Linked DNA regions of Arabidopsis thaliana. The protein of the gene in region 1 interacts with the protein of each later gene in a biochemical or structural test. Each region holds a gene or a part of one and is shown on either strand. Other genes may lie near its edges.

Region 1 (3,758 bases):
TCTCTGCATCAAAATTGTTGGTTGCTTCTTCCAGTTCCTCCAAAGAGAAAACTCGGTATGGTGATAGTCCAATCACCGCGGATCTCATGGTTTGCGGTACACGTCCTGCATTTGAAAAAATCAAGCTAGTTAGGTTAATGGGTGTGAAAACTTGATTCAAGATTTCAAAGTAATAGCCTACTTAGATCTGGTACTGTCTTTGATGTGGTGGACCTGGTGGTGTTGCTGCAAACAGTGACCTGATCGACGTTGTTTGCTTCCAAAGGCTCTTCTTTTGATCTTGATTTTCTCATCCTAACCAAAACCAAGCCAGCTAAAACCGCTGAAACGAGGATCACACCGATGATAATGCCAATCACCAATCCAAGTTCGATTCCTGTATCTTCTTCTTTCCTTTCTTTATCTTTAGTGTCAGACTTCACAGCAGCTACTGCTTGCTTTGCTTCGTTTTCACAGAAGGTAACTGGACGCTGATACTTTGCAGAAGGAGAACCATTTATAGACAAGCAATTGAATGTGAAGAGCAGTACTGTCTGTTTCTTGGAAGAGAAGCAAGATGGAAGCTTCCCAGTCAGAAGATTCCGAGAAACATCTAAAATTCTAAGCTTGGAGTTGCACAACGATGAATTTGGAAGTGATCCACTCAGCAAGTTTTGTGCTAAACTTAGATTCTGAAGCGAAGGAAGCGAAAGCAGGAATCTTGGGATTGAGCCAGTGAACTTGTTGGAGGAAAGATCTAAGCTCTGAAGCTTATTCAGCTTCTTGATCTGTTCTGGAATCTTTGATCCAAAAGAGTTGTTCTTCAATGAAATAGTAATCAAGTTACTTGCAAGTGAAGGAACAACTTCAGGACCGAGTTTATTACCGCCTAAATTCAGCTCTTGAAGATTCGACAATCCTCTGAGATCAGGAACACTTCCGTTAAACAAATTGTTCGCTAGAACAAGACTTCTCAGATTCTTCAACGACGAGATCTCTTTAGGAATATTCCCAGAGATGAAATTAGAACTGAGATTCAGAGATTGAAGAGATGAAGATAACCTGATGATCTGTGAAGGGAGAGGACCAGAGATGCCAAGAGAGACCAGAGACAATGTCTTTAAGTTTGAGAGTTTTGTAAGAACAGTGAATAGTGAGTCGCTTGAGAATCTTCCGGGGAGCTTAACGGTTCTGTTCCCCGTGACGGTTAATTCAGTTACATGACCATTGAAACAGAGGATTTTGAAAGAAGGAGAAGAAGGGAGGTAGCAGAAATTGGTCCAGTTGCTCCATGATCGAAGAGTTGGTGGATATTGTAAATGCTTTTGGATTTCTAATAGAGTTCTTGATTCACTTGATATTAGCTGTGATTCTGAGACTGATGGCAGAAGAAAAAGAAAGAGAAGAAAAGTGAGAGAAAAGGCCTGGCTTTTAGAGGAACTATGCATTCTCTCAGGAAGAATTACAGAGAAATTAGAAAGAAAGATGTTATTGTGGCTTAAGGAACAGAAGGTCTTTCTGTTATTGTAGCCGAGATTAGTGTTAGTATTTGTTTAGTAGTCTAAAAAAATGGTGTTTTGTACATAAATTCTAGAGATTTTTTTAGATCGGAAGCAGATTTTCTAGGGAAATTGGGAGATAAAAAAATGAAACAATGTTTTTGGGACAGAGCAAGAAACAAAATTAAGTGGAGAGAAGTTCTGCTGAGAAGAAGACAATAAATACAAATTTTGTTTAATTTTTGTTTCTTATGTTGATTGTTCATAAGTTTCACATTGACAGACTGTTTTACTGCTTCGAAGAAAGTGAATGAAATTTTTTAAAAGCATAAAATGAATTAGATCCTTAAAATACGTAAAATCCACATGAAATATCTGACTATTTATCTACTTTTGATCTAAAATTTCCACAATTTAGAGTTATTTATTTACTTCAACTGGTTCTTAATTAATTTCTCTGTTATGGTCAGAAGACCTTTCTTTATTACTCATATAACATGCATTTATTTGATACATAATACATGCATAAACATACAAATACATACATGTTTGACGAATAAATGTTGTGTAGTAGTACTTCTCTCGAAATCCGTTGATCTCTTCCCCAAGGTAAATTCTTTCATCTTTACCAATTTTTTAAAAAATATAAATGAATAAACTTACGAATAAATGTTTGTAGTTTCTTTTATAACATTTTAACTCCTGTAATATCAATACTACTTGTAAAATAACAAAAAATACATACTTAATTAATGAGCAACGTTGCATTAATTGTTAATGCATAGAGATTTGATAGATATATAGCGACCAGACAGTATGTAATAAAAGTCAACCAGACCAGTGAACGAGTTTTTTTACACGTGCTCTTTCGTCAATGTAAATATGTAATGATCAGATCGTGCCGTTAAGGATCATCCAAAGCCACCGTCGCAAGGAAAATCTAACCCCGTTCGTTGGATTAAAAGCTCAAATAAAGAATTACATGTCCTAACCAAATCTTTTTCTCGAACTACACTTTTAACCACTTGTTGTTTTTCTCGAAACCAGAAGGACACCAAATGATCATCTATATACAGTAAACCAACAAATGATATAAATCGTACTTCTTTTTTCTCGTGGTCATCAATCAACAATTCAATATCAAACTGTTACAAAAAATACCAATCTCAAACTAATAATACTACCAATTAGTTCGGCCATGATATATTTTCATCACTATTGTCGGTGAGAAATGAGTGTCATTTTGTTTTCGTGTGTTTGGAAAGTGTTGAGATTCTAACAAATGTTCAGCTGTTTTCTTTTTGGTGTGTGAATTGTGATGAACTGTCCATTACTTTCTCTTTTGTTCCTTTATTCTTTTTACATCGATCTCTCATTGTTCTTTACTTCTTTTTAAGTGGCCTGACGTGCGATCCTAATAAAAAGAAGGTTGGTTATATACAATTTTTGACAAAAACCAAAAAAGTTTTGTTGTATAAGAGGAATTATAGAAACCATGCATCACCAACACCAAGTAGTAAAAAGTTTCATCCCAAAACAAGTGACCGTCATCGTAGTAAGTTAAAAAAATGGCTGAAAACAAAAGTTTTCAAGTTCAAAATACAAGGTTTTATCAGAAGCACTCAAAACCAATATTTTGTCACAGCTTCCAAGTTTCCAAGTAATCATGATGAAAAAATATACTATTTTCTAAAAACAAAAAGGTAAGGGAAGATAAAATGCGAGTTTGCAAGCACATCACATGCAACTGCCTTTGTAATAAGCGACACTGCCAAAGTATCAATTAATATTATACAACATGCATTTCTTTTCAATTTTATATGCAGCTTTATTATTAAAATCCTTTGTCAGATAACTTACAAACTGTTATTTTTTGGGCTTATAGGCTTATTAAAGGTTAGAATTTAAACCCATATATGTATCCAACTAATTTAAGGCCCAAAATATGCATCTTTAGGTCCATATAAATTAGGCATGTTCAAAATAAATTACCCAAATTATATAGCATATAGTTGAATAAATTCAGAAAAAAAAAAATATCATAAAGTTTACACTGTAGTTTAGTTGTGACATAAAATTTGCTAATGTAAAGTTATCCACAAAAAAAATTCAAACATTTTAAGATATTCATTTCTTAAAACCAGGATTCAACTTCGAACAGAATCAAATCTAAACTTTATTATAGTGATAATTTAATCATGTTTCTTTCACATTCGTTTATGAAACGTCAAAAAATATCTAGTTAGAATACAATACATTCCTATCATGAGCTGGTTAGTG
Region 2 (3,758 bases), about 18 Mb from region 1:
GGGATCTCTCCTTCCAAACCATTTCCAGAAACATCTCTACAACAAACAACAAAGATTAACAAAACTAAAAAGTTAGATAAACGAATCAAAAACTCACTAAATATCAGCATAGAAGAGATACAAAGACTCACAGTTCAAGAAGTAGTCTGCAGTTTGATAAATCCTCTGGTATTTCACCAACGAGATTGAGATTATGCAAATTCAAAACCTGTAGATACTCAAGATTTCCGAGCTCAAGTGGTAGCTTCCCATCTATAAAGTTATCGCCTAACCTGATCACAGAGAGCTTCTCCATCTTCCCCATACCTACAGGTACACTCCCATTGAGCCTATTCGATTCCAAGTCCAAAAGCTTAAGACTTTTGCATCCGGTTATACCGCTAGGTACATTACCAGTTAACTCATTCGAAGAAGCATCCAAAAACTCCAAACTTTCACTACAATCAACAATCTCACCAATCTCCCCTCTAAACCGGTTTCCAGACACATTAAAATAAGTCAGGTTCTTGAATCCAATAACCTCGAAAGACGCTACTCCATCGAAAGAATTGCTTCCTATATCGACATGACTCAATCTCTTACACTTCGATATCTCCTCAAACACATCACCAGACAACAAATTTCTTCTAACAGATACAAACTCAAGAACCGGAATATCGCAGATCCGAGGCAACAAACCGGTAATGCCATTGTAAGAGAAATCGAAACCAATGAGATTGTTACAGTTTACGATTGATTCAGGGATTGATCCTGAGAGATTGTTATGAGACAATGAAACAAACTTTGTCTTGTAACAGAATTTAAACAGAGAATTTGGAATCTCTCCAAAGAACGCATTTTTCGACAAATCCAAGAACCTTAAATTAGGCAAATCACCGATAAATTCAGGAACCAAACCAGACAATGCATTGGAACTAACATTGATCTTCCATAAAGTCTGTAACTTTAAGTAATCCAAAGGTAAATTACCTGTAATCCTGTTGCCAAACAGAGTCAAAACCCTTAAAGAAGTTAAACCAGACAATGCCGGCGTTAGGGTTCCGGCGAGACTAGTGTTCCAAAGAACGATCTTTTCGACGAATCCTTCTTGGTTACAAGATACACCATTGAAGCTGTTACAGAGGTCAGCATTAGAGACCCAAGAAGCTAAACTGTTGTACGGATCATCGTTGATGTTGTCTTTGAATTGAAGTAGAATCTCTCGTTCGGTAATAATAGAATCCGAGAAACTTCGAGATGATGTAATAATAATGTGAACGAATATGAACATTATTACCCAAATCAATTTCCCAATCTGCATTTGCGGTTATCGGATCCTAAACCGAACTCAAACCCGGTTAAGCTATTTCGTTAACAATTTCTTGATAAACGAAGAAGAAGAAGAACAAAAGCATGAAGAAGTAGCTGCATTTGCCTCGAGAAGAGAGTTTCAAGAAACATAGAATAAGATCTGGGTATTACCAGTCATAAGTTTCCGAACCAAACCCATTAATTTCTGGACACAAATCTATATAGAGAGAGATTTGAGAAAAGATGAGTGCGTGGAGAGTGTGCCTTGGCTGGAAAGTAAGTAAAGCAGGTGAAGCAATTTAATAGTCTGTCTCTTCTGCAGCAAAAGGTTTGGTTTTGTTTCCTCTCTCTCTCTGTCTCTCTATATACATCTGTGGCTTCCACCATGTGAACAAGAACCACGTGCAAGCTTATGTGTGTGTAAGTAAGTGTGTGTAATTTAAGAGTGGGAGAAGAAGGTGTCTGTTTGTCTTGTACCATCAAGCATTTATTCTTTGTTGCCTACACCAATCAAACCCTTCCATCAATGTATTTCAGAAACTATAAATAAGATAAAATAAATTTTTATGTATAATTTGATCATGTTTGTGATTCTACAGTTTTTAAGTTATTTATGAATGATACGAAATGTAGATTTTTTTAATCAAAAATTCTAAAAATATTATCTAATTATAGAATTAGTTTTCAAATTAATGATATTTCGCAAAACAAGTCTAACATTGTGAATTTGATTAAGTGATATCAATATTATTGTATATAGCTTTTGATTGCATAGAAATGTTGTATATACAATAGTTCATAGAGAGTCTATACAAATTGGTATTGTATAAACCAGTCTTAGATTTTCCGTTTAGTGGCTTCTGGTTTAGACCTTTATCAATTGTATATAAAACCTTAATTGTATTATTTATTATTTAATGAGAATAAGATTATTTTACCGAAAAATCTTATAAAAAACCTTCAAAGTAGCAACAACTTACACTTTAAAAACTTTCAAGATTTTGAACTCTCACAATAAACCATCAAAATAAAAAAATTGTTACTTTAAACCTTCAAAGTGGTTTTCGTATTCCCACAAAAATGGTTTTCGAATTCGTAATCCCACAAAAATTAATGGATAAATTAAATTTCTCACCCTTTATTTTCCGGTTTTGTAGACTTCTTCCATACAAAAGTTTAAAATCTATAAGGAAAAGCTTTTTCTGTTCTTTGTTTTGCTAGAAATTGGCGGAACTAATTATTTGAACATCCCAAAATGAACTCAACTAATATAAAAACATACACCAAAAGACAAACTTAAATATAGTGAACATCACTTAATTAAAGTGATACCTGACACGGAAGGAGTATGTAATACTAGTAAATGTTTAAAGATTTATCAAATAATCCCTTTAGGTCGGAAACCTAGAACAGTGCAGTAAATTCAAAATTACTCATATTAAAAAAAAAAACTATGCTTGAACAACAACAAAACTTCATTCCAAAGTTTCTTGTCAAAAAAGAGTTCAATTCCCAATTATGCCTTTTGTCGGATTTTTCTTTATAAATCTTTAGTTTTGTCCAAGCAACTGAGTACTATTTATAATCACTGTCGATTTCTTAGTGTAAATTCCTAGATACATCAATATTGCACTGTGAGTCTTTGAATCACTGAATCATAAATCCATAAAAGACTTAAAATGTTCTCTAATCTTCAGTATTTAATACCCCGTTGTCTTTTATTTGTATGAATTTATAATATGACCGTTGATTAAGTACGGTACTGTTTATATTTGTATATTTCGAAACATCAAAGTCTGACTACTGTTCCTAAGATTCTCTAGATTCTTCAAGTCTGACATAAAACAGAAGTACTAGGTGTTTGACCAATGCCCACAATTACAAAAAATGTTACTTCGATATAATCTGAATCTTGGAAAAAAATAAATATCTAAAGCATGCATACAAATATACAATTGAAATTTCATACATTTTCCCTGGTCTAGTGAGTATTGAAGTACTGAAGTAGTTATACATTGGAGAAAGTGAGAAAGTTGAATAAAAGAAAAGTAAAGTGAAAGACGATAAATTCTCCATCCTTGAGCTATTTCAAGTTTCAACTAGACAACTATTATCTTGGTTATATAATAAGGAACTATGAAGATTAAAAATTGAGAATTAGATTAGTACGATATCTTTGGTGATAGAGTTTATGTCCTATATTTTAGGAGTTTGTGTTTATATCTTGTTGAGTTCATTGTGAATAAATACTCATAGTTTGCGAATTAATGAAAGTAAGTCAGTTCAATATCTAATTCTACAGTATAACTTTTTACAGCATGAGAAAGCAGCGTGTTTTTGCGGTTTAAAATTGTTGTTCCGTGAGTTATATCAATGTTTTGATTAAAATCTTTCGAGGAGATAGTTTAATCTTTTTAGTTGTTGCGCGGTGCAGAATTGAACTGTAGAATTTCCTAATCAAGGAGCAA
Region 3 (3,758 bases), on another chromosome or scaffold:
AGTTTTTTCAGGTTGAAATGAATGAATGACTTACAGGGACTTGATTTGATAACTAGAAGTGTTGTAGCTGCATCCAATACCTTCCCAAGGGAAGAGTCTGGGAGAGCAAGGATCACCAGTCCAAATCTTATTCACTTTATACGTTGATTTTATGCTTTCTATGGCTTGAACTGCATTACCAATAGAAAATGGAAAACTGTGAGTGTCAGTGAAAATTAAAGACCAGAACAAAATATACGTAGACGACTAACAAAGTAGAGATGAACACACCATCGTCAATTCTGGTGTAAAATTCATCCAGAGATTGTGCTGAAAAAATCTCAATAGCATTGAGTATTGGTGGACGCGTTGACTCTGCGGTCTTCTGAACAGAAATCCAGTGATCTTTACCAGTGAAAGCTCGTGAGTTAGACACTGTCATTGAATACTCAGGAGAGGGGTTAAAAGCTCCTGAAACAGGCGACCCATTCCAGAATATCTTGATTTCTCTGCTCTCATTCCTCTTGAGATTTTCAAGTTCTGCAAAATAAAGGTACGCATAAAACCGAGTATCTGGATCGCTTGATGTCCAAGACAGTTCCAATGGTTCATCGTCACTTTTAGGCGAAGCAGCTGTCTTAATAACTTCATCTGGTGGCCTATAACCAGACTGAAAAATATCGATATACCCAGTAGTCATAGTTGTATTCCAAGACACTGGAGAGTACGGAGACCAAATACGATCATATGTATCCTTTTGGTACCGTCCTGTTCCATTCAAATATCCTGTATCCCATCTTTGATAGAGTACCAATGAGACATTTCTTCCAAACTCAGTTCCATAGATGGAGCTGTTCATTGGTCGAAGCTCCAACGCTGAAATAAAAGGAGTTCCTTTACCTTTGTTCACAAGGCAAACATATATTGTATCTGACTCTGCAAAGCTGAGGATCTCCTTGATGACGTTCTCAGAAGCATTTCTGAGTTTCACCGAGGTCCAGAAATTCACGTTTACGTAGAGATCAAACTCAGGTAAAGCATTTTTACCATCGTAGTTTCCATACATAAACGAAGCTCTGATGAGATAAAGATTCCCTTTTCCATCGGAGGGGGTTAAGGTGTAACAGTTCCTGTTTCCTTGAGGAAAAGATCTTACATCAGCAAGCGGGAAAGGCAAAACCGGGTTTTTCGGGTAACCGTATTCTTCAGAGACGTTCAGATTTACTCCAGCGTTGATGAAAGGTGCATCCCAGGTGTAACTGATACCAGTATCAGTGTCTACATAGTTAATATTAGGGGGTGACCCACAATCTATGCTGATGAAACCTGGACCAGAAGAAGGTAAGGGTTTTGATTAATTCTACAACGTTGAGAAAATTTTCATCAAAATTCCAATGCAGGTTTAAATTTTAGAACCTAAAGCATTCAATCATAGAAACAGACTTGGACCTCACTTATCATGTCAAACCAATAATCAGAACACGGTTTTGGCCAAAATGCAACCACATATATCAAAACTTCAAAAATCTTTGGTCTGAAGATTGCTCATTTTCAAATCAAAACAGACTCTAACAGAGGAAAATAAGCGAGAATGAGACTCACGAACCTGCTTGGCCTTGGCCATGTACTACAATGGCAATGGCAATGACGGAAAAAAGGATGAGAAAAACAGAGTGAGCTCCCATGTTCTTCTTATTTTGTAAAGCTCAGCTCATCATCGTCAGAAAAACAGACAACCTGCGTTTAAGATAACACAAAAACACAAAAGACTAGAAAGTACAAAGTCTATGCCCATTTCCTCTTCTGGTAGCAACAAAATTGACCTGGAGGTGTATAACATAAGTGCTGCTCACGACTGAAAAAAGCGGCCAAGAAAGAATATAAAATGGTAATACAGCTATCAAGAAGTAACCAGTGGGTCAACAACTAACGCATGATATATATATAACTCCAATAAAATATTATAACAAAACATAGCCAAGCTTGGACATAGCCGACAGATACAAAGAAAATAAAAATCTTTTCTGACCACAGAATTTGTAACCGAGTTTTGACATTAGATGATTGGGTCACATAGAGAATTACAGACTGTTGCAACCTTTAAAACCAGAAAACTTAAAAGGATAGTGAAAAGATTTTTTACTTAAGCTATTGTTTCTTTAACTGTTATGCTGGAGAGTATTAGAACTAAGCTTCATCTTGTACTAGCTGCTTTGCGGTATCAGCTTCATGGGATGAGCTCAAAGGGAATGATGATAACTCTATGTAATCAAAGTCCTCAGTGATTCCCGCCTGAAAGTTACCCAGCTGATTTAGTCTCTCCTTCATGTATGAGAATGTGAAATGTGGAATTTATAGCCTTTTGAAGTGAAAAGATCTGGAAGATACCTCCGTGTATAGATGTTCTAGCTGTTCCTTGGCCTGGGGGAAGTTGTTTGAACACCATTGTCGCAGTGTGAAGATGTTATCTGAGTAAGTTTGAAAGAATTATAATCTAGGCTGCAGTGAAAATTACGTAAGTATTAAAACTGAAAACACATTCCCAAGTTTTAGAAATGAAATACCTGTCCATCTGTTAGCCGACTGGTGAGCAACTTCAATTGCATTCCCTGTCAAAATTAGAAGGAATATACACATTGATACAGCTAGTAAAGCACAAGATTGATTCTTATTTCTGCTCCACGAAGACCGGGAAAACCATATAGGAGATCTAACACAAAACAAAAGTAACGTATTATGCAGAACTTAACTCTTTGCCTCCAAAGTAGCTGGATCGTTGTCAGCAAATTGTACCATCTCGTTCTGTTTAAGAAGAAGAAACTGTTAGCAACTTGTTAAGCATGTGAATAGCTCTATGCAAACAGATAGTCTGTATAATCTGACCTTCAGATCTTTGTGTTTCTTTTCAATATCTTTGAGTTGCGTCAAGGCCTCTGTTCGTTCCTCCTGCAGCAAGAACAGCAATTCTGGTGAAAAGCACACGTAAGCTTATTCGAGCATTAATTCTACAATACTGAAAATACTTACCGATTCTTCCCTTCCCTTCTTTAGGGCCTCACACTGATCAACAAGTTCTGCTAACCTTTTGTTACTACCCTGAAGATCAGATTCAAGTTTCTGGCGAACACTCCTAAGCTGTTCATTCAAAATGAGATCAGAAACAATGAATTTCGCTATGCTCAAATTAATATGAATCTTTTTGATGTCATCTCAGGATACAGAACGGTGACTCACTTGATTGCCAGCACAGCTGGGAAGGCTCCAAAAGTAGATCTTCATTTGCAAAATAATGAACACCGTCAAACAACATATAACAGAGACAAGGACTATATGGCAACAAATGAAATAAAAAGATCCAACATAGGAACACTAAGCTACTCACAGAAATTCCAATCTTGTCTTTCGCAACAAGATCATCATCGACTAAACTCTGGATAACATCTTTCACAGACTGACTAATTACACCCTTCTTCGGCCCCATCTTCTCAAGTTCCTTTAGCTGAAATTTTTTTACAAAAGTAGAGACCCATAAGTGCTTGTATCACAAACCCAAAAGTTCAATAGCAACAAATTTAGGCAGTATATGCACTTCACGACTCTAGATATCAGATCACTTGGTAGATAAAGCTAGTTCAAAGGCGTCCAAAAATTAGCAAGTTGTAAAAACTAAAGAAAGTGCTCACTAGGAAGAAGTCTTGAGACTCATAGAATATCTGAAGCATCTTCTCTCGTTTCTCCTCCAGCGAAAGTCCCCGTTTCTTAGACTGAATATCATCAAC

The links.
Region 2: the proteins of AT1G14390 (region 1) and AT1G62950 form a complex in vitro, tested with the Arabidopsis thaliana proteins (one large-scale study listed by BioGRID).
Region 3: the proteins of AT1G14390 (region 1) and RHS16 form a complex in vitro, tested with the Arabidopsis thaliana proteins (one large-scale study listed by BioGRID).

The regions. Positions count from the first base shown.
Region 1 is NC_003070.9:4,921,946-4,925,703, reverse strand, and holds the start of AT1G14390 (Leucine-rich repeat protein kinase family protein), read right to left. Parts: upstream 1,668-3,758; 5' UTR 1,428-1,667; coding exon 182-1,427; intron 106-181; coding exon 1-105.
Region 2 is NC_003070.9:23,312,836-23,316,593, reverse strand, and holds the start of AT1G62950 (leucine-rich repeat transmembrane protein kinase family protein), read right to left. Parts: upstream 1,724-3,758; 5' UTR 1,301-1,723; coding exon 132-1,300; intron 37-131; coding exon 1-36.
Region 3 is NC_003075.7:14,383,537-14,387,294, reverse strand, and holds the start of RHS16 (root hair specific 16), read right to left. Parts: upstream 1,825-3,758; 5' UTR 1,665-1,824; coding exon 1,586-1,664; intron 1,306-1,585; coding exon 271-1,305; intron 171-270; coding exon 35-170; intron 1-34. Other genes in the region: ATMND1 (Mnd1 family protein), read right to left, coding at 2,167-2,271, 2,368-2,447, 2,544-2,588, 2,730-2,781, 2,863-2,925, 3,007-3,114, 3,214-3,252, 3,362-3,478 and 1 more.